Sus scrofa: one gene and its partners. The protein of the gene in region 5 interacts with the protein of the main gene of each other region in a pairwise test. Links are inferred from orthologs where the notes say so. Each region holds a gene or a part of one and is shown on either strand. Other genes may lie near its edges. The genes, in order: NAB2, FKBP6, FOSL1, KRT18, NME7, CCHCR1 and C4H1orf189.

The links.
Region 1: the proteins of NME7 (region 5) and NAB2 interact in binary tests that used the Homo sapiens proteins (3 or more experiments, as listed by UniProt). The two-hybrid records come from large-scale screens. The link is inferred for Sus scrofa from reciprocal best matches to the Homo sapiens genes NME7 and NAB2.
Region 2: the proteins of NME7 (region 5) and FKBP6 interact in binary tests that used the Homo sapiens proteins (3 or more experiments, as listed by UniProt). The two-hybrid records come from large-scale screens. The link is inferred for Sus scrofa from reciprocal best matches to the Homo sapiens genes NME7 and FKBP6.
Region 3: the proteins of NME7 (region 5) and FOSL1 interact in binary tests that used the Homo sapiens proteins (3 or more experiments, as listed by UniProt). The two-hybrid records come from large-scale screens. The link is inferred for Sus scrofa from reciprocal best matches to the Homo sapiens genes NME7 and FOSL1.
Region 4: the proteins of NME7 (region 5) and KRT18 interact in binary tests that used the Homo sapiens proteins (3 or more experiments, as listed by UniProt). The two-hybrid records come from large-scale screens. The link is inferred for Sus scrofa from reciprocal best matches to the Homo sapiens genes NME7 and KRT18.
Region 6: the proteins of NME7 (region 5) and CCHCR1 interact in binary tests that used the Homo sapiens proteins (3 or more experiments, as listed by UniProt). The link is inferred for Sus scrofa from reciprocal best matches to the Homo sapiens genes NME7 and CCHCR1.
Region 7: the proteins of NME7 (region 5) and C4H1orf189 interact in binary tests that used the Homo sapiens proteins (3 or more experiments, as listed by UniProt). The two-hybrid records come from large-scale screens. The link is inferred for Sus scrofa from reciprocal best matches to the Homo sapiens genes NME7 and CFAP141.

Annotation. Positions count from the first base shown.
Region 1 is NC_010447.5:22,398,944-22,403,074, forward strand, and holds the start of NAB2 (NGFI-A-binding protein 2), read left to right. Parts: upstream 1-1,331; 5' UTR 1,332-1,604; coding exon 1,605-1,687; intron 1,688-3,129; coding exon 3,130-4,003; intron 4,004-4,131. UniProt on the Homo sapiens protein: Acts as a transcriptional repressor for zinc finger transcription factors EGR1 and EGR2. Isoform 2 lacks repression ability.
Region 2 is NC_010445.4:10,668,144-10,672,374, forward strand, and holds the start of FKBP6 (inactive peptidyl-prolyl cis-trans isomerase FKBP6), read left to right. Parts: upstream 1-1,431; 5' UTR 1,432-1,758; coding exon 1,759-1,815; intron 1,816-2,016; coding exon 2,017-2,134; intron 2,135-2,543; coding exon 2,544-2,633; intron 2,634-3,438; coding exon 3,439-3,641; intron 3,642-4,231. UniProt on the Homo sapiens protein: Has an essential role in spermatogenesis. It is required to repress transposable elements and prevent their mobilization, which is essential for the germline integrity.
Region 3 is NC_010444.4:6,428,758-6,432,957, reverse strand, and holds the start of FOSL1 (fos-related antigen 1), read right to left. Parts: upstream 2,801-4,200; 5' UTR 2,552-2,800; coding exon 2,462-2,551; intron 482-2,461; coding exon 284-481; intron 1-283.
Region 4 is NC_010447.5:18,216,304-18,220,485, reverse strand, and holds the start of KRT18 (keratin, type I cytoskeletal 18), read right to left. Parts: upstream 2,801-4,182; 5' UTR 2,697-2,800; coding exon 2,301-2,696; intron 1,549-2,300; coding exon 1,466-1,548; intron 1,163-1,465; coding exon 1,006-1,162; intron 492-1,005; coding exon 327-491; intron 224-326; coding exon 98-223; intron 1-97. UniProt on the Homo sapiens protein: Involved in the uptake of thrombin-antithrombin complexes by hepatic cells. When phosphorylated, plays a role in filament reorganization. Involved in the delivery of mutated CFTR to the plasma membrane.
Region 5 is NC_010446.5:81,638,580-81,642,706, reverse strand, and holds the start of NME7 (nucleoside diphosphate kinase 7), read right to left. Parts: upstream 2,801-4,127; 5' UTR 2,669-2,800; coding exon 2,666-2,668; intron 2,530-2,665; exon of another isoform or gene 2,400-2,529; intron 1-2,399. UniProt on the Homo sapiens protein: Possesses an intrinsic kinase activity. Displays 3'-5' exonuclease activity with a preference for single-stranded DNA. Does not seem to have nucleoside diphosphate kinase activity.
Region 6 is NC_010449.5:23,555,310-23,559,568, forward strand, and holds the start of CCHCR1 (coiled-coil alpha-helical rod protein 1), read right to left. Parts: upstream 2,801-4,259; 5' UTR 2,658-2,800; intron 2,322-2,657; exon of another isoform or gene 2,111-2,321; 5' UTR 2,071-2,110; coding exon 1,897-2,070; intron 1,692-1,896; exon of another isoform or gene 1,626-1,691; coding exon 1,559-1,625; intron 1,481-1,558; coding exon 1,267-1,480; intron 1-1,266. Other genes in the region: TCF19 (transcription factor 19), read left to right, coding at 3,968-4,205. UniProt on the Homo sapiens protein: May be a regulator of keratinocyte proliferation or differentiation.
Region 7 is NC_010446.5:95,529,716-95,533,940, reverse strand, and holds the start of C4H1orf189 (uncharacterized protein C1orf189 homolog), read right to left. Parts: upstream 2,801-4,225; 5' UTR 2,743-2,800; coding exon 2,710-2,742; intron 2,412-2,709; coding exon 2,371-2,411; intron 550-2,370; coding exon 420-549; intron 1-419. Other genes in the region: C4H1orf43 (chromosome 1 open reading frame 43 homologg), read right to left, coding at 3,825-4,020. UniProt on the Homo sapiens protein: Microtubule inner protein (MIP) part of the dynein-decorated doublet microtubules (DMTs) in cilia axoneme, which is required for motile cilia beating.

The DNA of each region.
Region 1 (4,131 bases), on a different chromosome or scaffold from region 5:
AGAGAATCTTGGCTACTGAAATTCCCCCCAGTGGTGCACCTCTCTTCTCCTGTCCCACCCGGAGACGGGAGGGTCCCCTCGCCAGGCCGGAATGTAGAACCAGCCCTGGCCCACGCTACCCACTCCTTGCTGGCCCGGGCCACTCAGAAGTGCTGAATGATGGGTGGGGCTGAGATTTTGGATTAGGGGGAATTTTGCCGCCCCTCCTCCTTCATTTCCTCGGGGCGTAGAGCCGCTGGGCCGGGCTCTAAGAGACCCCGCCAGTCGGCCCTCTCAGCCGTGGGCGGGAGTGTAATGGGAACCAGATGGGGCTGGGAAAAAGAAAGGGGAGGGATGGTGGGTGGCAGAGAGGGGCAAAGCTCCTTGAAGGAGCTCCTCCCTCCTACTCCTCGGTAGGGAGCCACGTCGGTAGGGAGCCACGTCCGACGCGCCCGGCCTCCGCCGGTCTCCCACTTGACTCCGGCGAAATACCTTCACAGACGTCCCTAGAAGGGGTATCCTCCTCCCAAAGTTGCCACACAGAATTCCCCAGAGGTAGGTCCCCATTCTCAGCAAATAGGATGCTACTAGCGGAAGAAGGCAGGATACCCCTCCCATCCTTGCCTGACCTAAGCACTAACAACCCAGCGCGACTAATAGACGCGCGTCTAAGCAGCAGGTTATGGCAAACCCCGCCCATTTCTGTTCCCCGAACTTCGACGTGGTTTGGGAAGAGTGCGAGGATCTGTGAGGGATTCCTGCAGAGCTCCACGTTCACAGATCTGTCCTAAGTGCACACTCTACGGGAGTCAGAAGCACCCACGAGAGGAGCCGCGCACCCCAGTCTCCCAACTTTTCCTGGCTCACTCCTAACATTCACACGTATAGCACCGCGAAGCCCGAGTGTGGGCAGCAGGCGACCGGGTAGTTGTTTAGGCGCGTGTGCCCGTCGGTGTGCTTCTCTGTGTCTTTGTGTACCTGTGCGTGGTTGTGAAACTCCGCTCTCTGCTCAGAGGGGAAGGAGGAGTGGGAGTAAGAATGTCGCCGGCTGGGCGCTCACGTGGGTACGTGGGCGCGAAGAAGGCCGGCTGTGCATCCGGCGTAGGCGGCTCCGAGCGACCTCGCCCCGCCCGCTGAGTCCCCAAGCCCGCCTTCCACAGCCCGGCCTCGGTCACTTTAGTCCCCAACTCGGCGCCCTGGCGCCGAGTCCCCGCCCCCGCCTCCTGCTCCACACCCCCCTCCCCACATTCTCCGCCTCTCTCCGCCTCTCTGCTGAGGCTTCTCCACCGCCGGCCGAGAGGCCCGGGCGCCCGCCCCCCGCCCACAAGCCTCCGCCCCCGGCTCGGCCCACGCCCTCCGCCCGCCTGGCAGCCAGTGCTGCGCCGGGCCTCGCTCCCCGTGCGTCCTGCGGGGGCGGAGGCGCGGAGAGGCGGCAAGCGCAGCCGGGGAGGGGGGGGGTAGAGGCACAGACAGAGGCGCGGAGGCTCGGAGAGAGGAGACGTGGAGGAAGGGACGGAGCCCGGACAGCGGCGGACACGGCCTCGCGCGCCAGGAAGATCGCAGCACACAGAAGGCGCCGAGCGCCGGACACTGAGAGGGGCATCCCCGGTGGTCTCCAGCCGTCCATGCACAGAGCTCCCTCCCCCACTGCCGAGCAGCCGCCGGGCGGAGGGGACAGCGCCCGCCGGACCCCTCAGCCCAGACTCAAGTAAGTGGGCAAAGGGAAGCGGCGGGGAGTGGAAATGGGTGGAGCTGGACTCGGGGAAAGGGGTCCGGAGGGCGGAGGTCGAGGAGAGGACTAGGGGAAGAGGGACGGGGGTGGGGGGTGGAGACTGATGGAAAGGGGGTGCGCCTTCGAATTAGGGGGCCATGGGAGCAGGCAGGGATCTGATGAAGCTGGATGTGAAGGAATAGTATCTAATTCTCCATTCCTCGTTTACTCTGTGAGCATGACCTGGCCTGTGAGCCCCTGCAAAGAATGTGGGGGCTCCTAAGTGCCAGGGGAAGCCCTGGAGTTCTAGCTGGCAACAGTGCTGGGGAAGAGCCGCTCAGCTGGCACAATCTGTGGTTGGCATGGAGCGCGCCGCTTTGGGGTCGGGAGAAGTCGGCGCCTTTGAACCAAGAGCGCATCAGAGCGGCTCTGCAGGAGCAGGACGTGCCTTAGGCGTCTATTTCCATTTCCGTACCTTTATTTACAGAGTGGGGAGGGGAGTTTCGGTGTGCAGCCCCTCCCTCAAGAGGCCTTGAGTCGCTCCCCCACTCCACTTGAAGATGTGGATGGAAAAAGGGAGAGAGGGGTAGGCGGGAGCCCCCCGGCGGTTTTCGCCCACGGACGCTACCACCGTGGGAGTGTGTGTGGGCGGAACGGGCCGCAAAGCAGAACAATTGAGGCACTTCTCCCCTCCCCTGTGCCTGAGCTGAAGGGATGGGCCTACCTCTGGAGCAGGTGGGAAGGTCACTGCTGGGAGAGGGACCAACCGAGGGCCACTGGGCAGTCTGGAAGAGGGGGGAGGTTCTGGGGAGAGACAGCAGGAAAATGCCTAATCCTTGGGGAAGGCTTAGCAGAGGTGGGAAAAGGTAGCAGAGTAGGGGTCTGCTTGGCTCCTTGAGCTGAAAAGGGCAGGGAAGCCACACCCTCTGCCTCAGCCACATGAGCATAATGCCACCAGAGAATAAAGCTGCCCAGGTGTCCATTGTAGGGAGGTGGGGGCTCATACATTCACCTCAGTGTGGGAAGCTAACTTGTGTAATGTTGAGATTGCTGGGTGTTTGGGGGGAAGACGAGGACTGTGTTCTGGAGGAGAGGGTGGTCCAGCCATCACCGGGGTGTGCTGGCTGGCTTCAGCGCGCAAGGTCTCCTTGTGCCAGGCCAGAAAAGTAAAAGTTGAGGATGGGGGAACAGAGCCTTTGACTTCCACAAAGACCAGTATGGTTTTTAGTACTTCTGGCCAGTTTGGGATGGCATTAGCATGGCTGTGACTCTGAGCAGTGGTTGGTTCTTGTGGTTTGGGCTCCGACCTAGGCACTGGGCAGAGAGAGCATTCGGAAGAGGGGTGGGAAAGAGAAAACAACCGTGAACGTGTGTTCGTACCCAGCAAGGAGGACTTGCACTGACCGCCATCCCCTCTCTGTCCTGTGCCTCCTTCTCAGGCCCAGTGCCCGAGCCATGGCCCTGCCTCGGACACTGGGGGAGCTGCAGCTGTACCGGGTCCTGCAGCGCGCCAATCTCCTTTCCTACTATGAGACCTTCATCCAGCAGGGAGGGGACGACGTGCAGCAACTGTGTGAGGCGGGTGAGGAGGAGTTCCTGGAGATCATGGCACTCGTGGGCATGGCCACCAAGCCTCTCCATGTCCGACGCCTACAGAAGGCACTAAGAGAGTGGGCCACCAATCCAGGGCTCTTCAGCCAGCCAGTGCCCGCCGTGCCCGTCTCCAGCATTCCGCTCTTCAAGATCTCTGAGACTTCGGGGTCCCGGAAGGGGAGCATGAGCAACGGGCATGGCAGTCCTGGGGAAAAGGCGGGCAGTGCCCGCAGTTTTAGCCCTAAGAGCCCCCTTGAACTTGGAGAGAAGCTGTCACCATTGCCCGGGGGACCTGGGGCAGGGGACCCCCGGATCTGGCCAGGCCGGAGTACTCCAGAGTCCGATGTTGGGGCAGGAGGAGAAGACGAGTCTGGCTCACCCCCGTTCTCCCCACCTGCAGGGGGAGGAGTCCCCGAGGGGACTGGGGCTGGGGGGCTGGCAGCAGCTGGGGCTGGGGGCGGTCCGGATCGGCTGGAGCCAGAGATGGTACGCATGGTGGTGGAGAGCGTGGAGAGAATCTTCCGAAGCTTCCCGAGGGGGGATGCTGGGGAGGTAACGTCCCTGCTGAAGCTGAACAAGAAGCTGGCACGGAGCGTGGGGCACATCTTTGAGATGGACGATAACGACAGCCAGAAGGAAGAGGAGATCCGCAAATACAGCATCATTTATGGCCGCTTTGACTCCAAGCGGCGGGAGGGCAAGCAGCTCAGCCTACATGAGGTAAGGATCCCAGCCTCCCAGGAGTGCTCTTGACTCCCAGGCCTTGACCCACTCATCTCTGAGAATGATCACTTCCCCAAGTCTGTTTCATTGACCTTGACCAGGACCCCAGGCCCTGATCCCTTCCC
Region 2 (4,231 bases), on a different chromosome or scaffold from region 5:
CCTGATCGGGATGAGAGCCGGGTCCAGTCTGAAAAATAATTGCTTTAACAGCCAGGATAATCTCAGAATTAAAGGTCCCCTCTGATGGCCATCCAACATCGAATGTCGGCCATTCAGAGACACAGAAAGTCTGCCAAGGTCCCTTCTTAACCTGAACTGACAAATTATGAGCCCTGGATTTAACTTCAGTCCAATGGTCGAGAGTCAAACTAAGAGGGGTCGTCACCGTCTGTCCCATATTAAAACTGTAGACAAGGACGCACAAGACAAAGACACACAAAACAGAAACCAACAGATCCAGACACACGCGACCCGTCCGCGTCTTCCACAAGCAGGCAAAAGAGTCGGACGGCCGCGGAGGGGGAAGCTTTCGCTTCAACAACAGAACTCGGTCCTCTGACCGACAGAAGGAGACCACCAGGCGTCCCTGGCTCTCCCCACCTCCCGGGGCGTCCCCCAGGGTGGCAGCCTGTGATCCTCCTAGCACGTCTGCTGATCACAGTCCCCCAGTCCTTACGGTCTGAGAGGACAGCTGCAAACCGAAAGCGCGCATCACCGAAAACAGACACTCAGAACAGAGACGCCAGCCGACACACACACTCACACGTTCCAAAGGGGATCCCTTTACCTCCAAGTCGGTTCTCGGGTGTGAGGGGTAGTCGCGGGTTTCCCGGCCAACGCACCAAACTGAAAGGCCAGTCGAGTTAAAATCCCTCTCGTCCTGACTCGGAAGAGGCGACACCCCAAATCACTCACGAGAAGCGGTCTTGATGCAAACAGCAAGAGGATTTTTATTCCGAGCGCGCTGGGGCCCACAGTCGTACGCCACGCAGGGGTAGAGGACTGCGGCCCCGAGTGTGGAGTCGGGACAGCTTTTATGGGGTTCACAACAAAGCCCGCGCTTTTACAAACTAATCATTTTTAAAATATCGCAAACCAGTCAATTCAAAACTTCGAGAGCCCGCGCTTTGTGGACCAATTAATTTTAAGTTGTTCTGGAGTTACATGTTTGTGCCTGTCTCTGGGTGGGGGAGACATATTGTCACCAAGATATATTTATCAGGATTTTCAACATTTTGTGGCACGCCCGATCTTACTGGGGTCCGTTAGGCAATTGACTTCTCCTCTTTTTATCTTATGCAAGCAGGTTTACAGAAGCCAAACAAGCAGTTAGGAGCAGTTTCAAGAAGTTTCAAGCATAGAGGCACATACTCAGGGGCCTGTTTTTCCCCTTCCACAAAGTTTTGTACAGAGCAGAAAGCAAGCCCTAAAACAGCAAAAAGTATGATCTTTTACCTATAGGGAACAGGGTCTGGAATTCGAGGGCATTTAGAGCTTCTTATTAACTTCCTGGGTTCTGGGAGAGTCAGGTTGCATTTTCATCCTTTCATCTGCACGTGCGTTTCCCCCACAGCAAAGCAGAACGAGGGACGGTGGAAATAACCCAGGGCTGCCAGGCCCGACGCTTCCAGCAGCCCGCCGTTTCTGAGGCCTTGTCCTCACCATCCTGCTTCACCCGGCCCGTGCCCAAAGCTTGGCCACCCCCTGCCCCATTGCTGGTCCTTATTCCTCGCGCCTTTGCCACGAGCCCCGTCAGGCCCTGCTTGTCCTCATCAGACGCCTGATGAGGCTCCACGTGCCCTCAATCTGCGCCCGCTCAAGCTGCGTGCGCCCCGTCACGTGCCCGGTCACGTGCCTTGCCACTCTCCCGCGCGTGCGCGCTCCCTGAGGGCGGTTGGCGGCGTTTGGAGCGGAGCCATGAGCGGCTCTTCGCGGTCCCTGAAAGGAACACCGCGGTCGGGTGCGGACGGTCAGGTATAAAGGGGCGCCGAGCCGCCGCGGAGGGGGGGGGTGCCGCGCAGAGATGGGGGCAGCGCCCGGAACCCGGGAGCCTTGCAAAGGGACGTCGCCCCCAGCCAGGTGAGGGCCCGGGCGCTGGAGAGGCAGGGGCCTTGGCCGCCGGAGTCGGGGCGCCAGCCCCGGGCTCTGAGACTCTGTGTTTCATTCCCCCACCAGTCTCTGTACCAGCGGTTAAGTCAGAGGATGCTGGACATCTCCGGGGACCGGGGCGTGTTGAAGGATGTCATCCGAGAGGGGACTGGAGAGCTGGTGACACCCGACGCTTCGGTGCTCGGTAACGGACCGCAGACCCGCCTGCCGTCCACCCTCGGGAAGCTGGCAGTGCCCAAGTGTTGGCGGGTGTTGGGCACCAGGCTTGGCTCTGCACTTTGATTTTGGAGGCCACGTTTAAAACATGAGTTTTGTTATAATTGGCGTCTTAAGGGATAAGGAGGGAACCCCTTACCCCTTTGTAATGGGACTACGGAGAACAAGGGATCCCACCAGCCCAGCTCTCGAACCTCAGAGCCTGTGGGCAGGCCTCCAAACGTTGAGCGAAGATTTTTCCAATCACTCCTGGTGAGGGGCAGTTTAAGGGCAGCTGGTACTTCCATTATTTTTGTGGGACAATTAAGGAAATTTGATAGGGCGGTGAGGGTGTCTTTGGTCCGTTTACCTCCCACTATCTCTTTCTTCTGTCCCAGTGAAATATTCTGGATATCTGGAGCACATGGACAAGCCTTTTGATTCTAACTGCTTTAGGAAAACTCCTCGGCTCATGAAACTTGGGGAGGGTAAGTTCAGAAACAGAGCTGGAAAAGAAGTGATCATTTGGGGAATTGCCCTAATGAGGGCAACACCCTAAGACCACAGAATGATCTGGAGCGCTGATTCTTTGAGTTGGTTTTCTGAGGCTGGGCTTTGCTAAACCAGCCCTGTTGTCTTCCATGCTTCCCTCCTTGAGACATAGGTGTTTGGGAGATGGCCTTGCTGGCAGAGTTATCTTTGCAGCCTGACTTAAATATTGGGTGCTACACTTTTCTTTGCTAGTTGATTAAGTCAACACCTATTGAATGCCTGCTACCTCCAAAGCACAGGGAAAAGAGAGGAGGTACTGAGGATTAGAAGGTCTGGGGCCAGTGTGGGGGAGGGAGATTAACATATTCCAGACAGCTAAACTGGTGGAGTTTCTAGGAAGTGTAAGCCATATTTTGTGGCAGTGCTCAATTGAAGGTAGAGTTAATTCCAGCTGGGAGGTTCAGGGAAGGCTTCATGGAAGAGGGGGCATTTGACATGATCCCTAACGTTTGAATAGCAATCCCCCCAAGGTAGAAGCTGGGCATGGGTGGGGGCGGGGGCAACACTGGAGGAAGAAGGAACTTCATGGACGAAGGCTGCTGCAGAGCCTAGAGGAGTTAAGGTCTGGGACGGAGGTGGTGGTGGTAGGGAAACAAGGCTGAGAAGCGTGTTGGGACCACAGTGTAGAAAGGCTGGAGATACCATGCAGAGAGATGTGGACCTGGAAGGGGGAAGAAAGTCATTGGCATTGGAACAAGATACTGGGTCGGCTTCCACCATGCTTCTGGTCCCTTCTTCCAGACATCACACTTTGGGGCATGGAGCTGGGCCTTCTGAGCATGCGGAGAGGAGAGCTGGCAAGGTTCCTGTTCAAACCGACCTACGCCTACGGAACACTGGGCTGTCCTCCCCTGATCCCCCCAAACACCACCGTCCTATTTGAGATTGAGCTGCTTGACTTCCTGGACTCTGCTGAGTCGGACAAGTTTTGTGCCCTCTCGGTGGTGAGTCCTGGGGCACAGATGTCAGCACTTAAGAGAGAATGGGATGGGTTTGTATTTCGGTAATTATCCTTATCTGCTAATGATCCTCAGCCCCAGGTTCCACTGAGGCCCTGGGGGGTGGGGGCGGGGAGTTCCCCACTTGTTAGTATTTGTCTGTCTTAGTTCTGGCTTCATGTGTAGGCATGTGTGCTAGGCTGAGAGTCTGCTAGGGACTAGCAGCTTGAGCTGGTCTCTTAGTCACTGTTTGTCTAGCTCTCCCTGCAAGACAGTGAACATTTGTTTCTCAACAGTGGTTTCCAGCAAATCAAGCATTGATAGATCCTGACTAGGGTGACCATATAATTTATTATAGCAGGACATCAGGTGTAAACTGGGACAATCCCAGGCAAACTGGGACAGATGGGTTCTGTCCCCATAACTTAAAAAAAATTGCCTTTGCTTTGTAGTCTTTCACTTAATTCATCCCTTAGAGTTTAGAGCTAGGTCTTCTAATCACCAGCAGTCAGGTCCTGTCCTTGTCATGCTGTTCGCCCTGACTGTCCATGTGGCCTTTGATATCCAGCTCAGGTTTACATATGTATATGATGTCT
Region 3 (4,200 bases), on a different chromosome or scaffold from region 5:
CCTGGAAGGGACATGCAAATCTCTCTATGCAAATCCCACCTATATTTCTCAGCTAATATGCCTCCACCTCCAGGAAGTTTTCCCTGATCCACCAGTGACCACTTTGCCTTCTGGGTCTCCCCAGGGGCTCTTATCACTTTCTGCCTTGGCCAGTAGTCACCAGTGGACCTATTCTCCCCACCCTCCTTCTAAGCCTGTGTTCTGCTTTTCAGCAAGAGCTTATCTTTTTCACCTCAGCAGCCCTGCGGGCACAGGAACCTGTGCAAATGCCTCTGCTCCTTACCTGTTCACAGTGCCGGCGACGCACTGCCGGAGTTGGCCCCAGAGCCCGGATGACTCCCGGCCGGGGTTGTGGGGGACTGTACTGGGGGTACGCCAGAGGCCTGGGGTAGCTGCTGGGTCCCAGGAAGTGAGGCTGTACCATCCACTGCAGCTCCTGGCTGCCACTCACAGCGTTGATGCTTGGCACGAGGTGGAACTTCTGAGGGATAAGACACAGAGGACTAGGGATGAGGTCTGTAGGGACGGAGGGGCTTCCAGGGGACAGAAGTCACACTGCTGCCCACCCTCAAGGCAGCTGCTGGTTCTGAGAGACCAGAGAGGGCGCAGCTTGGCAGGCATCCCTGCTTATGAACTGTGTGACTTTAGGCAGGTCACACAACCTCTGGGGCCTCCATTTCTCCCATCGGAGCTAAGAAAGTGTGAATTCCAGGCACTGGCCCAACGACTTTGCTAATCCTGACTCATATAATTTACACAACAGTATCTTCATTTTCAGACAGGAAAACAGTTCTCCATAGACGCACAGCCAGTAAGTGGGAAGCAGGTTTGTGCCCAGGAAGCCAGGCCCTTGCCCACTCTTGCACGCAGCCTGAGTCTCATCAGCATGAAGAGGAGAGTGACAGCTTCTGGCTTCAAGGGTGATTGTGAGAATCAGGTGAGAGGATGTGTGTGAGAGAGCCTGGTAAGTGTGGACAAGGACCACTGCTCTGGGTTCAGGCTATCCCGGCTTTGATCTTAACTCAGCCATTTACTGGCTCTCTGGGCAAATTATTTAATCTCAGTGTGCCTCAGTCTCCTCGTTTTTAATATTGTCACAGGGAGGGATTACAGCATTTCAATGATGCTAAGAAGTACCCTTTAGTGGCCCTGAATAGCAGCTCTCATAGTTCAATTGGCAACTTGAAAACAATTTTTGTGCTACAAAATAATGATGGGTTTTAGTATCAGTGGGGTCTTAGATTCTAGGAGTTAAGATAAATGAGGCGGAAACTGCCCGGCACCAGGCAGAGCTGCACAGTATGTGCTCCAGGTATCACCTGCCACAATTCCCTTCCAGCCAGAAACGTGAGGAATGGGTTGAGATGGGGGCTTACTGTTTGGAAAAAGAACTAGATTCAAGCCCTGGGTGTGGGCGCCCAGTCGTCCGGGAAGCGCCCCACAAGCCCAGACAAGTCAGGACAGCAGTGTCCCCGGCTTAGTGCTGCGGGCCCAATGGCCCAGTGACCCCAGTTTCGGGCCAAGGTACCGCCGGCGGCATCTCCAGCTCCCGAGGTTGTCCAGGCCCGGGCCCCTCCGGGCCAGGAAGGGAGGGGCGCCCCGCGTGAGTCAGCCACCGTGACTCGGCTGCCGTGACTCGGCGGAACGGACGCCGCTCCTTCCCTCCCCTAGCGACACGTGCTCACGGCCCCTCGACAGGAAATGGGCACCTGCAGCCTCCCAGGTTCCCCCCTGCCGGCAGCGGGCGCCGTTTGGTGCCGAGAGCCGGGGGCGCGGGACTTGCCCGCAGCCTGACCCCGCGCACGTCTCCCTGCACCTCACGGTCTCTGCCGGACGCATCCCGTAAAAGGGTCAAGAGCCGGTCTCCCGGAGCCCACCAGGCTCCACTGCGCCGAGATGATGATAAGGATCTGGCGACGGGATGGGGAGGGACAGACAAACGGGCGGGCGCCGGGATGATCACAGACAGACCGCCCAGGATTCCCAGTCTGCCGGGTCCAGCCCGCCGGTAGATCCTCTCTGTGCGAGGGGACATCTCGGCCGCAGCTCAGACTCCGGCTCTTGGAATTTAGTTCTCTTTGATTCTGCCGGGACTAGAACTCATCCCGGACAAGGGGTCCCCTTCGGACGCAGATGGGACAAAGAAATCGGCGGTGGACAGGAGGAAGGAAAGACGGTAACAGAGACGGAGGGACGGAGAGACCGCAGAGAGAGGGGGAAAGAGCGCGAGCCACAGAGGGGACGTTCGCAGATCTTCGTTCCCCCCCCCGCCGCGCGCGTCCCACTGGGCTGTGGGGGGAAAAGAGCCCTTGGACAACCGAGAATGGGCAGGATCCGCTGCCACCCCTCCGAGCCCCACTCCCTCCTGCGGTTCCCGGCCCCGGTCCGGATTGTGCTGGAGCGGCCCGCACCGTCTCAGGCGCTGTCCACCTGGGGACACTGGGCGTAGGGTTCCTCTCACCTGCTGGCCTGTCACCGGGGGCTGCGCCGGGCCGCCGTACGCACCTCCGGCCCCGGAGCTCGGTCCCGGTTCCCCGAAGTCTCGGAACATGCCCTGGGCTGGCTGCTCTGTGGGGTCCGTGTCGGCGGCTCTGGTTCTGACTCACTCGCTCCTCGCGGAGTCTTTTCTTTTTATGAATGAAAAGTCCTCGGGCTGAACCACTTCCACTGGGGCGGGGGGGGGCGTTCCTCAGCGGCGCTGGTCACCTCGGGGCTCCACCTCTGCAATCGCACCGCCTTTTGCCAGTCCGCCCTGAACTTTTCGTCGCCTCCTACAGCCGGCTAGCCGCTTTTTGGTGGGGAAAAAGGGCGGACTTGACGTCCCCCTGCGACAGCGGCAGGTCCGCCTCCTCTGACGTAGCTGCCCATACATGGTGCAATTTCCTCGCCGCGCCCAGGTGGAGCGAAGGATTCCCCCGCCGACGGAGGCACCTGCGCCCCGCCCAGCCCCGCCCCGCCTCGCCTCGCCCTCCACCTGCGCAGACCTAGATCCCGCCACCAGATCCCAGAGCCCTCAGTGTTTGCATCCGTAAAATGGGACGAAATAATCACACAGCGCCCTGGCCGCGCGTGGGAGGTTGGAATGAAAGGGGTCTGGAAACTGTAAAATGGGTTACAAATGTGATAGCATTATTATTATCATCATTATCATTATTTACTGGGTGCTTATTTCATGCCAGGAACCGTGCTACCGCCATCCAAGTCTGTGGTGTGAAGCCCTTTCACTGGCGTTGTCTTAAGGTTCAGGTTTACTAAAAAGTGAATGACAAACCAGGATTACAAAAGTGGTAGATACACACACACACACACACACACACACTTATTTGGCTGTGCCCGTTGGTATGCAGAAGTTGCCAGGCCAGGGATGGCATCCTCACCACAGCAGCGCCCCAAGCCACAGCAGTGACAGTGCCAGATCATCAACCTGTTGAGCCACCAGAGAACTCCAAAAATGGTGTATATTTTAAATGTTTACAATGACATGATAATGCTTTGAACTATCCCCAAATACTATGCAATGTAATTGCCCTACTCGCAGGGTAATTTCAGGAGTCAGGACAAGTTTTCATTCAGAACCTCTGTAAGCAGTGAAAGCCTGCAGTGGGGCACTTGTCCTGTGGTCTGATAAACATCATTTTCTTTAAATACTGTAACTACTCTTCCAGGACTGTGTGGTCACTAGCCTTGTTTGGAGATTACATCAAAAGTCTGTATGAATGTGAGGCCAGGGACAAATATCAACAGCCGAAGACCAGCAGCGCTGCGAGGTAGGTGCCATTATCGTCCCCATTTTACAGATGGGGGAAGTGAGGCTGAGAGATGTGGAAATGAAGGGCCCAAGATCACTAAGCAAGTGGCCGAAGCAGGTTGCCAAATCAGGGCTGTGGGAGCTCCCAGCCCAGGTTTGGGCAAGCGATTTCAAAGCCCTCACAGACAGCTTTTCACATATGTTGGTGCTGAGAGGACCGCCCCAAAGCTGCTTCTCTGTCTCTTCCCATTCTACAGATGAGGAAACTGAGGCCCAGATGAAGTAAGGAGCCGCCAGGGTCACTTGAGAGAGAGCTGGACGCTCCTGCTTTCCACTGGTACCTCCTTTTGATCAGTTCCAGCTTTGACCTCAGGGAAGGAGGATTTCAGGAAGGTGGGATCCTGGGCTGCTGTCCTTGGGGACAGAGGCCAAGGTCTGTAGATGCGTTCAGG
Region 4 (4,182 bases), on a different chromosome or scaffold from region 5:
GATGATGGAAGGGGAGGATTGGGGCTGAGACAGGATTGGGTGACAGAGGTCAGGACCAAGGGTGGTGGGGACAGATGGACTGAGTGAGGGCTCTCACCAGATTTCTCATGGAGTCCAGGTCGATCTCCAGGGACTGGACGGTCCGTCTCAGCTCTGTGAGTGTCATCTCAGCAGCTCCAATCTCAGCCGACTGTGAGGTGACCACTGAGGTGCTCTCCTCAATCTGCAGGGTGGACATGGTGCTCAGGTCCCTCCTCTGTCCTCCTCCCTCCCGCCCCCTCCTGCCTCTGTGCCTCGCTGGGCATCCATCCCTTCCTTTCACGCACCTGCTGGGACCAGTACTTGTCCAGCTCCTCTCGGTTCTTCTGAGCCAGCTCATCATACTGGGCCCGGATGTCTGCCATGATCTTGCTGAGGTCCTGAGGTTTGGGGGCATCCAACTCCACGGTCAACCCAGAGTTGGCAATCTGGTTTTGTAGACCCTTTACTTCCTAAAGGAGAGAGGAATGGAAGTGAGGAGGGGCTGAGGGTCGGAGATCCAGGAAGACTCTTCATCCGGGGCTGCCTCTTCCAGGAAGCCTACAGGGCCGACCAGACAACAAAGCAGAGGATGCCCTTGACTTTGCTCTCTGGGCAATGCCAGTTATGGGCCTTCTGCTCGAGATGGGTAAATATCACCTGTCCCGCCCATACCTGTCAATCACAAATCAATCACAAGTGGTTTCTCTCACCTCCCTTCGCCCTGTTCCTCCGTCTACTGATCTGCTCCTTGTATCTTTCTCCATCACTGCTTGCTTTTACTGCTCCTGTTTCAACCCTTCCCGCTGCACCACAAGGGAACTCCTCATCCATATCCTTTTGACCTCACCACATTCAGGTGAGCCACCGAGCATGGCAAGAATCTGATGGAGATGTGCTCAGGCTGGTAGTTCTAAATAAGAATCCTTGCAGGGGCCCTGCTCCCTCTACTCCCCGACCCAGACTTGTCTTGCGGCCCCTGCTTGCCTCCTCGTGGTTCTTCTTCATGAAGAGCAGCTCCTCCTTGAGAGCCTCGATCTCTGTCTCCAGCTGCAGGCGAGTGACATTGGTGTCATCAATGACCTTGCGGAGCCCGTGGATGTCGCTCTCCACAGACTGGCGCATGGCCAGCTCCGTCTCATACCTGTGGGAGTGGAGGTGATGAGAAGGGCCTCGTCTCTGATCCAGAACCTTCTCAACCCAGGCCACCTCCTAAGAGCAGCTGCATGACCACTGCAAACCAGCCACCTGGCTCAAGAATCAGGCGATCACAATCCTCAGAGCACAGTTCCTGGCAGTTGGGTACTGGCACTTGGGTATGAAAACTGGGGCTCATGAATAAGTGAACTGACGGAGCCTTACTCTCACTCATCCAGCTCCACCTACAGCTGCACAAGATCCCACTGTGAACCCCACCGGATCACAGCCCCCAGCCCCCCATCCTTACTTGACTCTGAAGTCATCAGCAGCGAGACGGGCATTGTCAATCTGCAGAACGATGCGGGCATTGTCCACAGAACTTGCAAAGATCTGGGGGGATGGACAGAGAGGTTGCTCGGTGAGTGGGAAGTTGATGGGGAGGGCTGAGTACGTTGGGAGGTGTCATGTGTCTCAGTAAAACAACCTTCCTGGTCCCCGGGTAACCAGAGGCTCTCCTTGTATACCTCTCCTCTTCCACCTGTGCCCCCTCACACTGTCCCCTCCTTTCCTGGAGTCCCAAATCCCAGCGTTTCCCACCTCCTGCTGCCCTTCCTTTCCAGGCCTCCACTGGCTGGCCTGCCCAGAAACGAGCAGCTGCTAAAAAGCCTGCTCCTGGCCTTCTCCTAGCATTTCTTGCGAGAGCACCTGCTCAGTGGCCCCCCTCCCCCACTGGTCTCTCCCACAGGTAGGCCTTCTGTTTGCTCCTAGATGACTCAGCTTTAGCCACATCCGCTTAACCCCTCCAGCTGTCCCTTCTCCGCTCCTGTTTCACCTCCTTCCATGCTGTCCACTCTTTTGCAAATGCCCACCTCCCCTTCCGGCTCTCTCCTGGGGAAGAGCCCTTCCTGCTCATTCACCACCCTTGGGAGCCCGGTGGCCAGAGGTGTGTAAGGAAATCTGGGGCATTCCTAAGCCCCCCAGTCGGAGTTGCAGGAGGGGTGGGAGATGGGGGAAGGAGTGAACGTACCCCACTCTGTTAGAATTGCTATCCTTGGGGGAGGGGGAGGAAGAGGGAAGGCAGCCGACAACTGGAGGATCCATCAGGGCTGGGAGTTGGGGCTGCTCCCTCCTTGCCCTCTTACCTGAGCCCTCAGTTCCTCGATAGTCTTCAAGTAATGACTCCAGTCCCTGACCTGGGGTCCCTTTTTCTCCAGGTGTTCCCGGATTTTGATCTCCAGCCTCCGATTATCAGCCTCCAGACTCCTCACCCTCTCCAGGTAGGAGGCCAGGCGGTCATTCAGGTCCTGCATGGTCTCCTTCTCGCCCTGGATGCCCCCGACACCCACCAGACCCCCGGCCATCCCGGCCCCCCAGCCGCTCCCGCCCCGGACGCTGCTGGAGCGGGACACGGAGATCCGGGAGCCCGAGCCCCCGGCGCCTGCATAGACGCTGGCCGCGCTGCTGACCGGTCGGACCCGGTGGCCCGGCGACTGCACGGACCGGTAGCTGGAGAAAGAGGACTGGGTGCTGAAGCTCATGTTGCTTATTCCGCGAGGGAAGAGCGAGACCAGAGCTCAGGTGCTGGGCCGTGGAGGGTGTTAGGTTCGCAACTCAAGTTATAGCTCCGAGGGAAGGGGAGGGGACCTCCCGGACAGGCTCCGCCCCTGCCACCGGAGTCGCTACGGAAGCCCGGGTCACAGGTGAACAGCGGGGAATCATCGCCCATGGTTCCTGACCCTCCCCAGCCTTTCCCCGCCCCCTCAGCCCTGCCCTGCCCCGGCCACCCTCCACCCTGCGGGAAGGGGGTGAGTGAGCGGGATGGAGACCCGCAAGGGCAGCAGGTGAAGGTGGCTCTGGCAGCTGTGCTTTCACGGCAAGAAATGATGATATTGTACCCCCACCCTACCCCCAGGGAGAGGAGATCCAGCCTGTGAGAATTTGGGGGATGAGGGTCCGGAGAAGAGTGTGTCTGCTTTAGCTGGGCTCAGCCTGCACCCCAAGTTCCCACCTGCAGGGGACATCTTGGGGAATCCTAGAGCCCCCAGAGTCCTGGGGAAGAGAAATGCCATCCTGAGGCTCAATTTGGCTGGTTTACACGGGTCCCCACCTCGGTTGATTCCCCAACAGTCCTCCTGCATCCTATAGGCGGGTATTGTCAATTACCCACAGACACCTTCACTCACCAATCATGTTCAGACTCTGGAAAACAAACTCATTCTCTGAACGGGGTCTCCTTTCCCCTCTTCCCTCAGCTCCATCCCAGGGAGGCCTGGCCTCTGGGAAACACTCAGTGATTTGAACAGGGGACTTGTCCTCACTTTTGCACACTTTTGTGTTTCAGCCTTACCCACACCCTTGGGTAAAGAAATAATAGCTGGGCACGTACAGTTCAACAGATATTTGTTGGGCACCTACTGTGTGTCAGGCTCTGTTCTAGTTGCTGGGGAGCAGTGGTGAAAAGACGCCGGTAATCTTCATGGAGCTCTCCTGTCCGAGAGGACAGACACGTGCACCTAGAAACATTCTAGGTGAGCCTCAGCCTGGTGGTCGGCCCTCTCTTCCTCCTCACTCGGACTTTTTGGCAAGCCCTCTTCCTTTCCCTGCCTCTCCTCAAAAGGTTCTCTGGATCCCAAGGAGTGGGTGGAGGCTGCCTCCTTCTGGAAGCTTCGGCCAGGATATGAGTGAAAAGGCTGCAGGTAGAGAAATTCCCACAGCTCCCTTCACCCCTGAAGCTGGATGGTGACCCCCTGCTGAATGAGCTGGAGGAATCCTAAGGTTCTGGGCCTGTCACCACCAGCAGCTGGTTTGTCAGGCAGGGGCTGGCATTACCTAGCTGTCTGTGCTGTTTGCTCTGCAGTGACCTATTGATTCTTAATGAGCTGCCAGCTAAACTGAAGAGGAGGGGGCAGACAGGCAAGGAGACCTGGGAGGATAGGTGCCCTGGGGAGTAGCTGGGTCAAAGGACCAGCCAGGGGGCAGGTGCAGCTCAGATGAGGGGCTTGGCCCTGGATCATCCCAGGCCTG
Region 5 (4,127 bases):
ATAAGAGAAATGTGTACTGTGTAAAGTTGTGACAAAAAAAGAATGAAGAGTCAACTCTCTCTGAGTAGAGAAAGAAGAAAAACACCTAACCTAGGAATGAAGAATCAATAGGAGTTTGGCTAGCAAACATGGCAGTAAAGGTATTCCAGGTGGAAGGAACAGCATGTGCAAAGTAGAGGAAAGAGGCTTACCACCAGTTTGCAGTTGCTTGGAATGTTCAATGAAAAGGCAAGTAACTAAAAGAATGTCTAAGAAAGTTTCATGACAGAAGCAAGACAGGTTAAGTCCTAGATCATAGAAGGCTTTGTATGCCATTCCAGATAGGCTGAATTTTTATACTGTTGGGAATGAGGAGTCTAGAGTTCTAAAGCGGTAATTAACATCAACAGATTTAGGGTTCAGTAAATTCCTTCTTGTGGTAGAGAAAATAATGAATTGAAGAATTACCAGACCAGAGTGTTAAAGACACTACTACAACAGTGCAAGCAAAAGCTGAGGAGATCTCGGAGTTCCCGTCGTGGCACAGTGGAAATGAATCCAACTAGGAACCATGGGGTTGTAGGTTCTATCCCTGGCCTCGCTCAGTGGGTTAAGGATCCAGAGTTGCCATGAGCTGTGGTGTAGGTTGCAGAGGCTGCTCAGATTTGGCATTACTGTGGCTGAAGCATAGGCTGGTAGCCGTAGCTCTGATTACACCCCTAGCCTAGGAATCTCCATAAGCCTCGGGTGAAGGCCTAAAAAAAGCGAAGGAAAAAAAAAAAAGAATTGAGGAAATCTGAAACTAAACCAGAATCAGGTGACCAACTGAACAGAGAAGACATAGGAGAGAAAGGAGTGTAGGAAAACTCTGGTTTCTGGTTTAGGTTATAAATATAGTGGTAGCATCAACTTGGTGAAACAAAAAAAGCCAGGTGAAAAGACAGCAAGTTCAGTTTTGGTTGAGTTTGAGGGGCCTTTGTGGTAACCAGCTAGAAGTGTCCAGGTCTTACCAGATCTGAGATGAAACTGAAATTTAAGAATGAATGCTTACCAGGTCTGAGATGAAACTGAAATTTAAGAATGAATGCTTAGGCATTAGTGGAACACTTGTGTGTGGATGAAATCAGCCAAAGAAAATGGACAGACTAAGAAATTAAGGAATGAATCCCAGAGAATGGCATTTAAAAAGTAGGCAAAGCCAGTGGGGAAAAAAAAAAAGAAGGAATGAATGATGATGAGCTTCATCTATCAAAGAGAGGCTAAATAAATTTTGAGAAGAAACTCCTGGATTTGGCCATAAGAAATTTAAGCAAGAACAACTTCATGAAGCCATTAGAGGAATTCAGATAACTGAGTGCTGAGGATGAAAGTAAAGAGCTGAATTTGATACAAATGGAAGCACTATGCTTTCAAGCAGTTTACTGATAAATGGGAGGACTAGGCAATAAACTGAACGAACACAGGCTGGGGGTGTGCTTTTGTTTTATTTCATTTTCTTAAGGTGTATGGCTTGAACACGGGGGGGGGGGTGGGGGGAGAAGGAAATGGTGAGGAAGAGGCTGAAAGCACAGGAAAGAAAAAAATATAACCAAAAGCAGAAAGTCCTATAAGGAATGGGAGGGAATAAAATCTAGAGCAAAGATGGAAGCATTATCCTTCAATACCTGTTTCTCTGAACTAGAAACACAAGACCTAACAGAGAAAGAAGGGGTGGTGGGTGGATCTCTGTTTGTTGTTGCTGTTCTTTCTTTCTAGAGCCACACCTGTGGCATATATAAGTTCCCTCGCTAGGAGTCCAATCCGAAGCCTACACCACAGCAATGCCAGGTTCTGGCTAAATCCTAAGCGGCAGCTTGCAGCAATGCCAGATCCTTCACCCACTGAGCGAGGCCAGGGATCAAACCCACATCCTCATGGATACTACTCTGGTTTTTAATGCATAGAGCCACAACGGGAACTCTGGGTGGGTCTCCATATTTAATTTCATAGCCATACCTGGCATTCTCGAACATGTGATCGAATGAAAATCATCTATAGGCTTTTTTAAAAATGCAAATATGGAGCCTGTTTCTATTCATGCAGAATTTCTGAAGGTGAAGCTCTAGCAAGTGAATTTTCCAGAAGTGATTTCCAAGTGATATTATGGAGTATTCCTGTTAAAAGGTAATCAACTGTATAATTTAGGGCTAGTGCAAAATGCAGCTATTATTAGGTGGCCCTTAGGGTGTGGAACGGTACTCGGCCCTCAAGAGAGCAAAGACTACAGGATTCAGAGAGATTCGGATCAGTCATGAAAAAGTCAAATAAACATCACCACATACTTTTAAATGAAGCGTGTTAAAGTGAAGCTGAGAGGTTGAAAAAAATGCAATGATGAAAAATGCATACATCTCCAATGTTTGACCGAAATAAGGTCTCACCTCAGACTACTAGACTCCGTGTCTTAGCCTTAAACTTCCTGTCACAATACTCTACAGGCTCAGCAGGACCAAAGTGTAATTCAGGGTGCTGCAAGAAGTAGGGAAAGCGAGGAAATTGCACGGACAGTTCCTGGAAAGGGACAAAGAAATAACCAGCCGAAGGTAGAAGCGATCTGGATGCCTCTCAACGCCCAGACGCCCCAGGACCTGGGACAAAGCATAAACAAGACCGCGATGCCTTTCTTCTGACACCGCCTTGCACTCACCATCGCCTCGGGATCTCAGCACCAGGAAATAGGTAACTTTGCGACTGGAAAACACCTACACCAACACCAACGCCAGGTTACTCTGGCAACAGAGCCCCACCTACTGCCGGACTCGGAGCGGGCCGCCACTACCCCGCCCCTTTGTCCTTAGTGGCTGGGAGTAAATAGAGCTCCGCCCACCCAGCCGACCGACCCGCCCCTTCACGCCGTAGCTTGGAGCAACGGAACACCACCTACCTCTTTCCAGCATCATCACTTCCGTTTGGTTGAAAGGCGACCCGGAAGTTCAGGCTTATATGCGGCTAGGGTCCAAGTATTCTTTTTTTTATTTTTTAATAAGAGTCTACCCAGTTTTGTTTTACTGAAGTCTTGAATCGTATATTCTGCGTCACTGCGTCACTTGAGTTTAAATGGCACCAAAAGTGTTTTCCTTCTGAAAAGTATTCCGGAAACGAAACCCTGAGTAATCGGAAGTAATTAGCCGTGAACCAAAAGCTTGATGTCCCCAAGGTTGGGGCGGATCGGCTTCGGAATGCTAGAGGAGTGTGCGCGGAAGTTAACCCGTGATATCTAGCCAAAGAACCTGTAAAGTGAGGCCCCCTGCAATTGGGAGAGTAAGAATCTGAGAGGTAAGTCCAGGAAAGGGCTTGTGTAACTGAGAGGGGATTTTGGAAAGGGACAGAGGTTTGGATTGAAGTGTGTTGTTCATTCAGTCGCTTTAGATTTAAGGAAAGGTTGCCCGTTGTTCCAGGAAGGTTTGTTCAGACAGGGACGGAACTTTGGATTTGACTTCTGGGGATGGCAGAGGTTGACAGGATTGTCGCTTCCACTCCTGCCACCTTCATACCTGTTACACACTCCAGACCCACCCCCACCCCCTTCAATTAGTATTTGCCTGCAGACCTTTGTACATTTCCCTGCGCATCTTCCGAGGGTTCATTGCTCTTGCGAAGGGTCTTTGGAGAGCTATTTTTCAGAACAGTGGCGGCGGGGGTGTGACTTTTAAGGAAGGTAGGCACGGAAGACGCTATGCTGAGTTATATCGAGTACTCAAGAGTTATCATTTTTGTGAGTGAAACCATTTGTCATCTAGTGCCTGGTTCATCATTCGTGATCACTGCATTAGTATTACCTTCCTTCTCATGTTCTCGCCTGAATCTTAGTAAGACTAAGATTTAGTAAGGTCATGCATACATTCTGAAAATATATGCTATGACATTTTAATTTTTACCAAGAAATGCAAATTAAGTTATTATGAATTTTTTGTCACTTGTTAAACATCTAAACAGAAGCTCCTCTGTCATGTAGTGAACAAAATAGTGTCCATGTCTCCTGAGAAGGTAATTACTTTAATACCTTTTTTTTTCCCCTTTTTTGGGCTGCATCCGCAGTATTTGGAGTTTCCTAGGCTAGGGGTGGAATCCGAGCTAAGCTGCTGGCCTACAACACAGCCACAACAGCA
Region 6 (4,259 bases), on a different chromosome or scaffold from region 5:
GAGCCATGATGGGAACTCTGACTTCTGAATTCTGATTTAAGGGTGAGGAAAAGTTTGAGGAAGGTGCAAAGAGAGGTCACAACTTCCAGTGTCAATATGGCAGGGCCAGACGCTAGGGGAAAGTCATATATTGAGTTCCTGCTGGGGAACAATAGATTGGCTGCATCTCTGGAGCACTGGGATGCAGGTTCAATCCCTGGCCCAGCATAGTGGGTTAAGGATCTGGCATTGCTGCATCTGTGGCTCAGATCTGAGTTCCTGGCCCGGGAACTCACTATGCCTCAGGGCAGTCAAAAAAAAAAAAAAAAAAATCAGTTGAGTGTTAGGTACTCATGAGATGTCTGAGAGGGTAGCACTTCCAATAAATTACATAGTCTCAACCAGTCTACTGGTGTCGCATAAAGTTTAAACCAGCTTATCCCATGGCTCTTGACACAGCTTCCTCACTGAGGCCCAGAACAGCATTTTTTTGTTGCTGTTCAAGAAGCAAAGATCTGCAGCCTAGAGTCATTAAGTGACGGCCAAAGGACTCCCAGCTGGTAGCCACATTAGCCACAAAGAGTCTGACTCTCACTCCAGTGCTCCCCTTTTGTCATCATGCTCTTTTCTCTTTGATGGGATCCAAGGTCGACCCATCTGCAATCCTGCTCTTGAGCAAAATGGCAGGATGACGTTCCAATACATTTGGGAGAAGACACCCATGAAACATCAAGAATGAGAATTTTCACAGGTAACACACTGACAGATGGCACGGACAGCTCCCTCAGGACGAATCCTCGCTACCACAGCACATGGCCTGTTCTCCCCGCAGGTACTGCATCTTACCTTATTCTACGCTTAATACAATCGGCTGTGGGTCAACCTATTTCCTCCCTTAGAATTTTTTTTCTTTCTTTTTTGGCTGCACCTGCAACATGTGGAAGTTTTCAGGTCAGGGAGCGAACCTGTGCCATAGCAGCTACCTGAGCCACTGGACTTACAAGGCTGGATCCTTAACCCTTTTGACACAAGAGAACTCCTTCCCTTAGGATTTTAAATTCCATGATATCAGGATCTTTCTTTTTTCTTTTTCAGTTTTGATACCCCTGTCCCTAGCATCAAGCACATCATCTTATTATTATTTGTGCACTGTAGGCACCAACAATTGCTTATGTACAAATGAAGAAATCATGGAATGAAGGGCTGAAATAGGGTAAAGGAATCTATTTCAGTGAAGAAGGGACAGTGGCAAGCAAGCCCGAGAAAACAGCAACAGGAGATCCCTACCTGCCTCGCCACCCTGGCTCCTGCCCTTTGCCAGAAACTTCCTTTTCCCACATGGTCACTTGAGGTCTCTGGTTGTCTGACAGCCTCTCTAAGACATCTTGATGGGCCGGGGGCTGGACCAAGGGAATGTCTGAGACCCAAGGGGGAGCCATTCTCGGCAGAGTTGGATGGGGCCGAGCTTGGAAGTGGGATGGGGGTATCAGCCTGGTGGAACCTGAGGAATCGTAAGGACAAAGATGGTCAGTTTCCCAGGGGGACACAATCACCAGTTCCCTTGCAAGATCCCACTGACCTGAACGTCGAAACATCTCCATATCATCTGAAGTCTCTAGATTCTGTGTCCAGTCATCTATGTTCTCCTGGACAATAGGAGAAACAAGGACACTCCAATTCAATTTTCAAGCCCCCTTCCAAAGAGAGAGCCCCTACAACAGCAAAGTCAAAAGCCTTAAATAACAGCCAGGGATGGCCGACTCTTAGCTCCTCTTTTCCTACTTCCCAAAAGAAGCAGGAAATATCTGAAAATCACTTGCTTGTCTCAATCTGGTTCCTAACAGAACTATGGCAACAGCCACGAGATGGAACAAATTTACTGAGACAGGCTGGGAAGCTCTTAGGTTTTGTTCATACTTGTAGAATTCTGGGCAGTGCCTTTACCCTCCTCCTTAAGTTTCTACAGTCTCTGCTGTTCCTGGATGGAGATGACGAAGGTGTGCGGTGCAGGGGCTGTGAGCCCAATCGCCGGAGTTCTCTCCATGGCTCAGCAAGGCCTTGGGGAAGCCCATCCAGACACCACCAAGCCATGACTCCTGGGTCCTTCCTTATCAAAGCGCTGATCCAAAGCCTGGCCCCAGATGAGCATGGCTACATGTAGAGCAGGACACCTATGGGGCCCCCAGGGAATCCAGGCAGCCTAGACCCCTTGGCAGAAAAGTCATCTCATCCAAACCCTTCCAGCAACTCCCTGCTCAGTTTCTCTCTACTGTCCTCTCAGTTTCCATTCCTGTCTCCCACCAGCCTCTCCAGAGCCCCAGACAAGAGACGGCTCTTCAAGATCTCCCCACCCTCCCACCCGAATCCATCTATTCCCCCCCCCAATCTGAGATTCCTATGCCCCTCCCTACATCCTAATTTGCTTTGATCCAGAAGGAATTATTCTGGTCCCCCACGCTCATCTCTCAATTCAATTGCCTGCTCTCCCTCCCGCCTCTCCCGCAGATACTCCTGAGCCTTCGCCCTGCTGGACGAGGAGCTCTAGGGCTGTTCTGACCACTTCATTTGTCCTTTTACCCGGACCCTGTACCCCTCCACCCTGTGGACCCCTGAACCCACCCCCGCACCCCCTCTTGGCCCTTCCCGCCCCCAACCGACTCTTCCCGAATACCCCTTACCCAGCGCGAGCGACCCCTCTGCCCTTTGACCACACCCCCTACCCCTAGCTCAGAAGCGCGGCCTCAGCCCCTGACCGCGCCTGCGCAAAGCGGGCAGGTTGGCGGGACGCTCTAAAGCCCTTCACCCTTCCGGGAGGAGGAGGGGAAGAGGTGTACGCAGGCGCGGTAGTCTAAAGCCCGGCCCAATTATGGCACTGAGGGCATCTCCGCGCCCTGGCGGCTCCTCCCAACTCCGGGAACCCGGGAAAACTTGTGAACTAATCAGAAAAAGCGGAAGGCGGGAGATCGGAGACCCTCCCAGCGCGTCGCCCAATGGAGAGAAGGAGGGCAAAAGAGATGGCCAATCAGAAACGGCACGGGGGGCGGGCTCTCTCGGCGCGAAGTTCAGACCCGGGAATTCCGAAGGCGGGGTCGGTACTGCCCGCGCGCGGAGACGGCGCCCCTCCTGGCCCCGGCTTCCTCGCTGTCAAACAGCCGCTGGAGCACCAGCCCTGGCCGGAGCCTGAGAGATCCTGAGCTGCCGCACAGGCTGGCACTGCCCGGAGAGGGGACCGCTTCGAGACTGCACCTCGCGGTAGATAAGAATCTGGATTGCGGCGGGGAGGGAAAAGGCTGGGTTTCCCTCGCATGATCCCGGGAAGCCCTATCCTGTCTTTAATCCCACCTGGAGAAGTCGGGAAGCAGGGGTTTAGATCCGCTTTGTTAGAGAACATAGAGACCCATTTGCACTGCCTTTGGAGGGATGACAGTGGATAGACTTCCCACGGGGGTTTAAGCTATCTAGTTATGAGTGAGGGGTTGGCCAGAAGAGCGAGGCGCAGGCTAGCAGGTGGGTTACTCTGTTTGGATTAGCAGAATTGACAGGAAACTTCTCCAAATTACACTGAGGTGACAAGTTAGTATCACACAGAAGCAGGACCCCAGTCCTCCCCCCTTGCAATTCGCATATTCCCCAGAAGCTGCCTAACGTATTGTTGCCTGGCACAGACTTGAAGGCTCCCGGAATATTCTGCAGCCTGAGGATCTGATTCAACTTCGTGCCATAGGACATCTTCGTCTTTGCACTATACTGGGACCCTCACGAAATTTTTCAGTTGGAAAACTGTTGACAGCCAATCTTGCATCGAATCCTAGGCCCTTGCACTCTGAATTTACACTATTCGGGGAGCGTGCCCAAGGTTGAGATTGCACAAAGCACAGTTCAACTCTGCATCAGAGGGAAAGAGAACTTAGGCCAGCTGTGCATGGCCCAGGATTGGGAAGTGATGGATTCCTGAAGTGGAAGAGGTGGTGCAGAGGGGGCACCGCCCATGCTGCCCTGCTTCCAGCTGCTGCGCATAGGGGGCGGCAGGGGTGTCGACCTTTACACCTTCCACCCCCCAAGTGGGGCTGGCTGCACCTACCGCTTGGGCTGCAGGGCCGACCTGTGTGATGTGGCCCTGCGGCCCCAGCAGGAGCCCGGCTTCATCTCGGAAGTCCACGCGGAGCTGCACGCTGAGCGCCGGGGTGATGACTGGAGGGTCAGCCTGGAGGACCATAGCAGCCAAGGTGAGGAGTGAGCAGAGCAGCCTTATGCCTGGGCAATGGCAGTTCTGGGCTGCA
Region 7 (4,225 bases), about 14 Mb from region 5:
CCACATTCAGCAAATATTTGCTAAGGACATTCCATGAAACAGAAAATTTTCTAGGTACCTGGGATACAAAGATGGTGACATGACAGGAAATGGGGACTCCAGGGAGAGAGAAAGAGGTTCTGAGAGGCAGGTGCTGGACACTAAGAAGTAGTTTTGAGTCTTACCAAGGTGAGAGGAGCAAGGACTAGACTACACCTTGGGACTTTAGAATGTGCCATCTGCAGCTAGATGTAAAGAGTCAGTGAAAAATAGCCTTAGTTTTAGGGTTAAAGAGTTACTGCTCTGGTGTGATGGTGAAAATCTCAGAGGCAAATAAGAGAGGTGAGTAAATGGTGGAGACTGAGAACTTGGGAATTCCAGTGGGCAAAGGCACAGGGCAGTAGAGGATGAAACTTTAGGTCACTTTTGCCAGAACTCACCATCAGTAGTTGCTTGTTAGCCAGTGCCAACTCCTGTACCACGGTGTTTTGCATCCTTAGGATGGCATATGGGTTTCTCCTCTGGCTTAATGTCATCTGCCACAGACAGTGAGTATGTGAATTTTGCCACCTGCCCCAGGCATAAAGGTAGGGTTGAATGGGTTGGCGTTAGGAGTGGAGACAAAAAACCCATCAGTGAGGTTGCTTCTTCACCAGAACTTCTGTGCTAATGTCAGAAGCCTGCAAACTCCTTGAAAGGGTAACTAGATACATAAAAGGAATATACCTACGTCCCTCTCTCTCTCACGTTTGTATCCTCTGTTCAGACAACCTTTGCTGACATTTAAAAAAAAGGGTTTTTTTACAGATGGCTGAAAAATTAAATCCATATGGGAAATATATATGTTAAATGAAAAGTGAAAGCTTCATTCTTCTGCCCCAGTTCTTTTCAACAGTTATCAGTTTCTTGTGTATCTTTCCAGAAAATTTTTCTATCATATGTCTTTTAATTTTTCAACATAAAATCATATATTTACATAAGCAGTATCAATTCACAATTTGGATTTTTCATATCAACACATAAAGATTTGCTTCAGTCTGTTTAAAGATTGCCTAGTATTTTTGTATCATAATTTAACCATCTACGTTGTTTCTAGCCTTTTAATTTTTATAAACAATGCTGTCATGAACACTCTTGTGAATGTACATTCTAGTGCTTTTGCAGATATATATGTGTAAGGAGATAAAAGTTGTCAGTTCAAAGGATATGCGAATTTAAAATTTTGATAGATTTCACCAAACTACCTTCATAAAAAAGGCTGCATCAATCTTGACTCCCACTAAAACTATAAGCATACTTGTTGCCTGACATCCTTGCTAAATCTGGATATAACCAGTGAAACCTTAAAAAACAGGTTTATCTGGGAGTTCCCGTCGTGGCTCAGTGGTTAATGAATTTGACTGAGAACCATGGGGTTGAAGGTTTGATCCCCGGCCTTGCTCGGTGGGTTGGGGATCTGGCATTGCCGTGAGCTGTGGTGTAGGTCACAGAGTCGTCTCGGATTCCGAGTTACTGTGGCTGTGGCGTAGGCCAGCAGCTGCAGCTCCAATTGGACCACTAGCCTGGGAACCTCCATGTGCTGCGGGAGCGGCCCTAGAAATGTTAAAAAAAAACAAAAACCAAAAAAACAAGTTTATCTTATTTAATCCCAGACCGTTTTAGTCAGAACATTCTGGGTTAACACCTGTGTGTTTTTAAAAGTTCCACAGGTGGAGTTCCCATCATGGTGCAGTGGTTAACGAATCCGACTGGGAACCATGAGGTTGCGGGTTCGATCCCTGCCCTTGCTCAGTGGGTTAACAATCCGGCGTTGCCGTTAGCTGTGGTGTAGGTCGCAGACGCGGCTCGGATCCTACGTTGCTGTGGCTCTGGCATAGGCCAGCGGCTACAGCTCCAATTCGACCCCTAGCCTGGGAACCTCCATATGCCGCAGGAGCAGCCCAAGAAATGGCAAAAAGACAAAAAACAAATAAAATAAATAAAATAAAATAAATAAAATAAAAAAGTTCCACAGGTGATGGAAGTACACAGCCTAGTCTTTTGATTCTTCCTATTCATTTGACAAATACTTAACTGTATACCAACCACATGGTTAGTACAATGCCAGAAAACAAATAATTGAATTTTCCTTAAAAAACAAAAACTTGCCCCAATTTTCCTCCAGAGAATGGGAAGCAAGGGGTTATAAAAACCATTGTCTATATAGCCTAACCCGATGTCCACTAGGCTTTTCTGCTTTTGAGAACACGGGCTGCTTCTTGCCCCCTCCACACCTGTTTGCCTTCTTGATGAGCCCCTAACAAGATGGAACAGATCCGAGAGGTGCCTTCAGAACAGGAGGGTGAAAAGGTCAAGCTGCAGTGTAAGGGAAGGGATAGAAGCAGAGATTACCTGTCCACCATCTTCTTCAGCCCCACGGCCCTTTGAAAACTCTGCAAGAAAAGGGAGTTCTGTTGACCTGCCTTGATCTCCAGTACCTCACCCTTAGTACCCCAACGTGATGGGAGACACAGTCCTCTTTTGAGAGAGGTAGTAGCAAACTTCCTATGGGAGGTGAATGCAACGAATATTTGAATTATCTACTACGTGCCAGACATAGTCTCCCAGTCCTTACCATCTTTGTTACATCAGGGGCCTCTATTGAGAAATGGTCCATTTCTGGTAAATTTCTCTGTAAATCTCACTAAAGGGAAACTCCTCCAACCCCACCCTGCTTCCAACTCTGCATACCTCTTCTACTTTTACCATCTTTTCCATAGACATGTCCACAGACTCGATATGGTCTTAGGAGACGGAGCTGGCTCTCCTTTCTGTTTAGTCCAGTCACGAGGTTTCAGTAGTCATAGCAACATTTATGGCTCCAACAATGACCCCTCGGCCTAAGTGTTGATTGGTCACCTGGCCTGCTGCCCTGGAGACTTGAAGGGAATCCTGGTTCGCCAGCCTTCTATTAGTGTCTCAGGCAATTCTATGAGCAAGGACCATAGTCCTAATTTTAGGCTTTCTTCTTTTGGGGTCCCAAGGAGTATCTATATGCTCCTAGGTCCAGAGAGCATATCATATACCTTTTATTAAAAGGCAATTGTAAAGGAATGAATCGCATGCTTTATTTTTTAACTCTACATTTTATTAAATAATTTATAAAGTCAGACCAGTATATTGGTCTTACCATTCCTTCACTCACACTATCCCCAAATGAGGGGGGATGGAATTTGTCAGGTGTCAAAACATTCCCTTTCCAATTTATTCATGACAATATGGAATGAAGTGGAAGGCAGATCCTTGCATATCAGGAAAGTTATGTTAATGGTTCAACACAGCCTGATTTAGATGGAGCACCAGAGTAAGTTCCACATACCACTCATGGCCTCACCTAACCTCCCCACCAGTTCCTATATGCTTTTTCTGTTAATCAACTCTTAGGTGTCTCAAACCCAAATGGTTCCCATTCAACTGTGTACAAAGGGGGCGATCCAGAAGACAAGACACCAAGCCCCATCACCCCAACTCTCACCCTCAGGATTTATTTATAGTCTGGAAAAGAGCAGATGAACCATGATCAAAATCAAGTGAGGATTTTCAAGGAACCTCTGACAGAAAGATTAAGAAAAACATATGAATTCAAATCCAGAGAAAAGTGCTACCAAGGGAAAATAAAGTCTTAACTGATGCTCTGAAACTGGCCAGAGGAAAGCATTGGAGAATGATCTTCTAGGCAAGAGCTCTAAACACAACTGGAGCGTCAGCTGATCCAGTCTGGGTTGCTGAGCCAGATGACCTGAGGGCTGCCGGGCAAGCACGCTGCAGTCTGTCTGGCTCCATCAACAGAGAGTCCTTCAGCCGCATCACAGAGTACTCTCCAATGTGTTATAGTTGTCCTTAAAGCTCTTCAATTCAAGGAAGTGCTTGGCACGTTTACTCTTCTGGCTGGAGGGGAGGTATGTCACCTGGATGGTTGTTGGGGAGACTTCAGGAGACTGGGTTAGGTCTTTGGCTGCTGACTGGTGTTGTCGCTGAGAGCTCCCACTTCGTGCTTTGACCCTAAAGAACACAGAGAGGGCAAGTCATGGGCAGAACAGGCCAATGGAAGAAATCAATTCAAGGCTTATCCACTCTATAAATTCAACCACAGCCATACATGTTCTCTGTCCTACCTCATAAACTAGTTAGTAATAAAATTCTATCTGGTAGCTTAGAAATAGCAGAGAAGTCAATTTTCCCACTGAATCCCTGGCTCTGGCTCAAT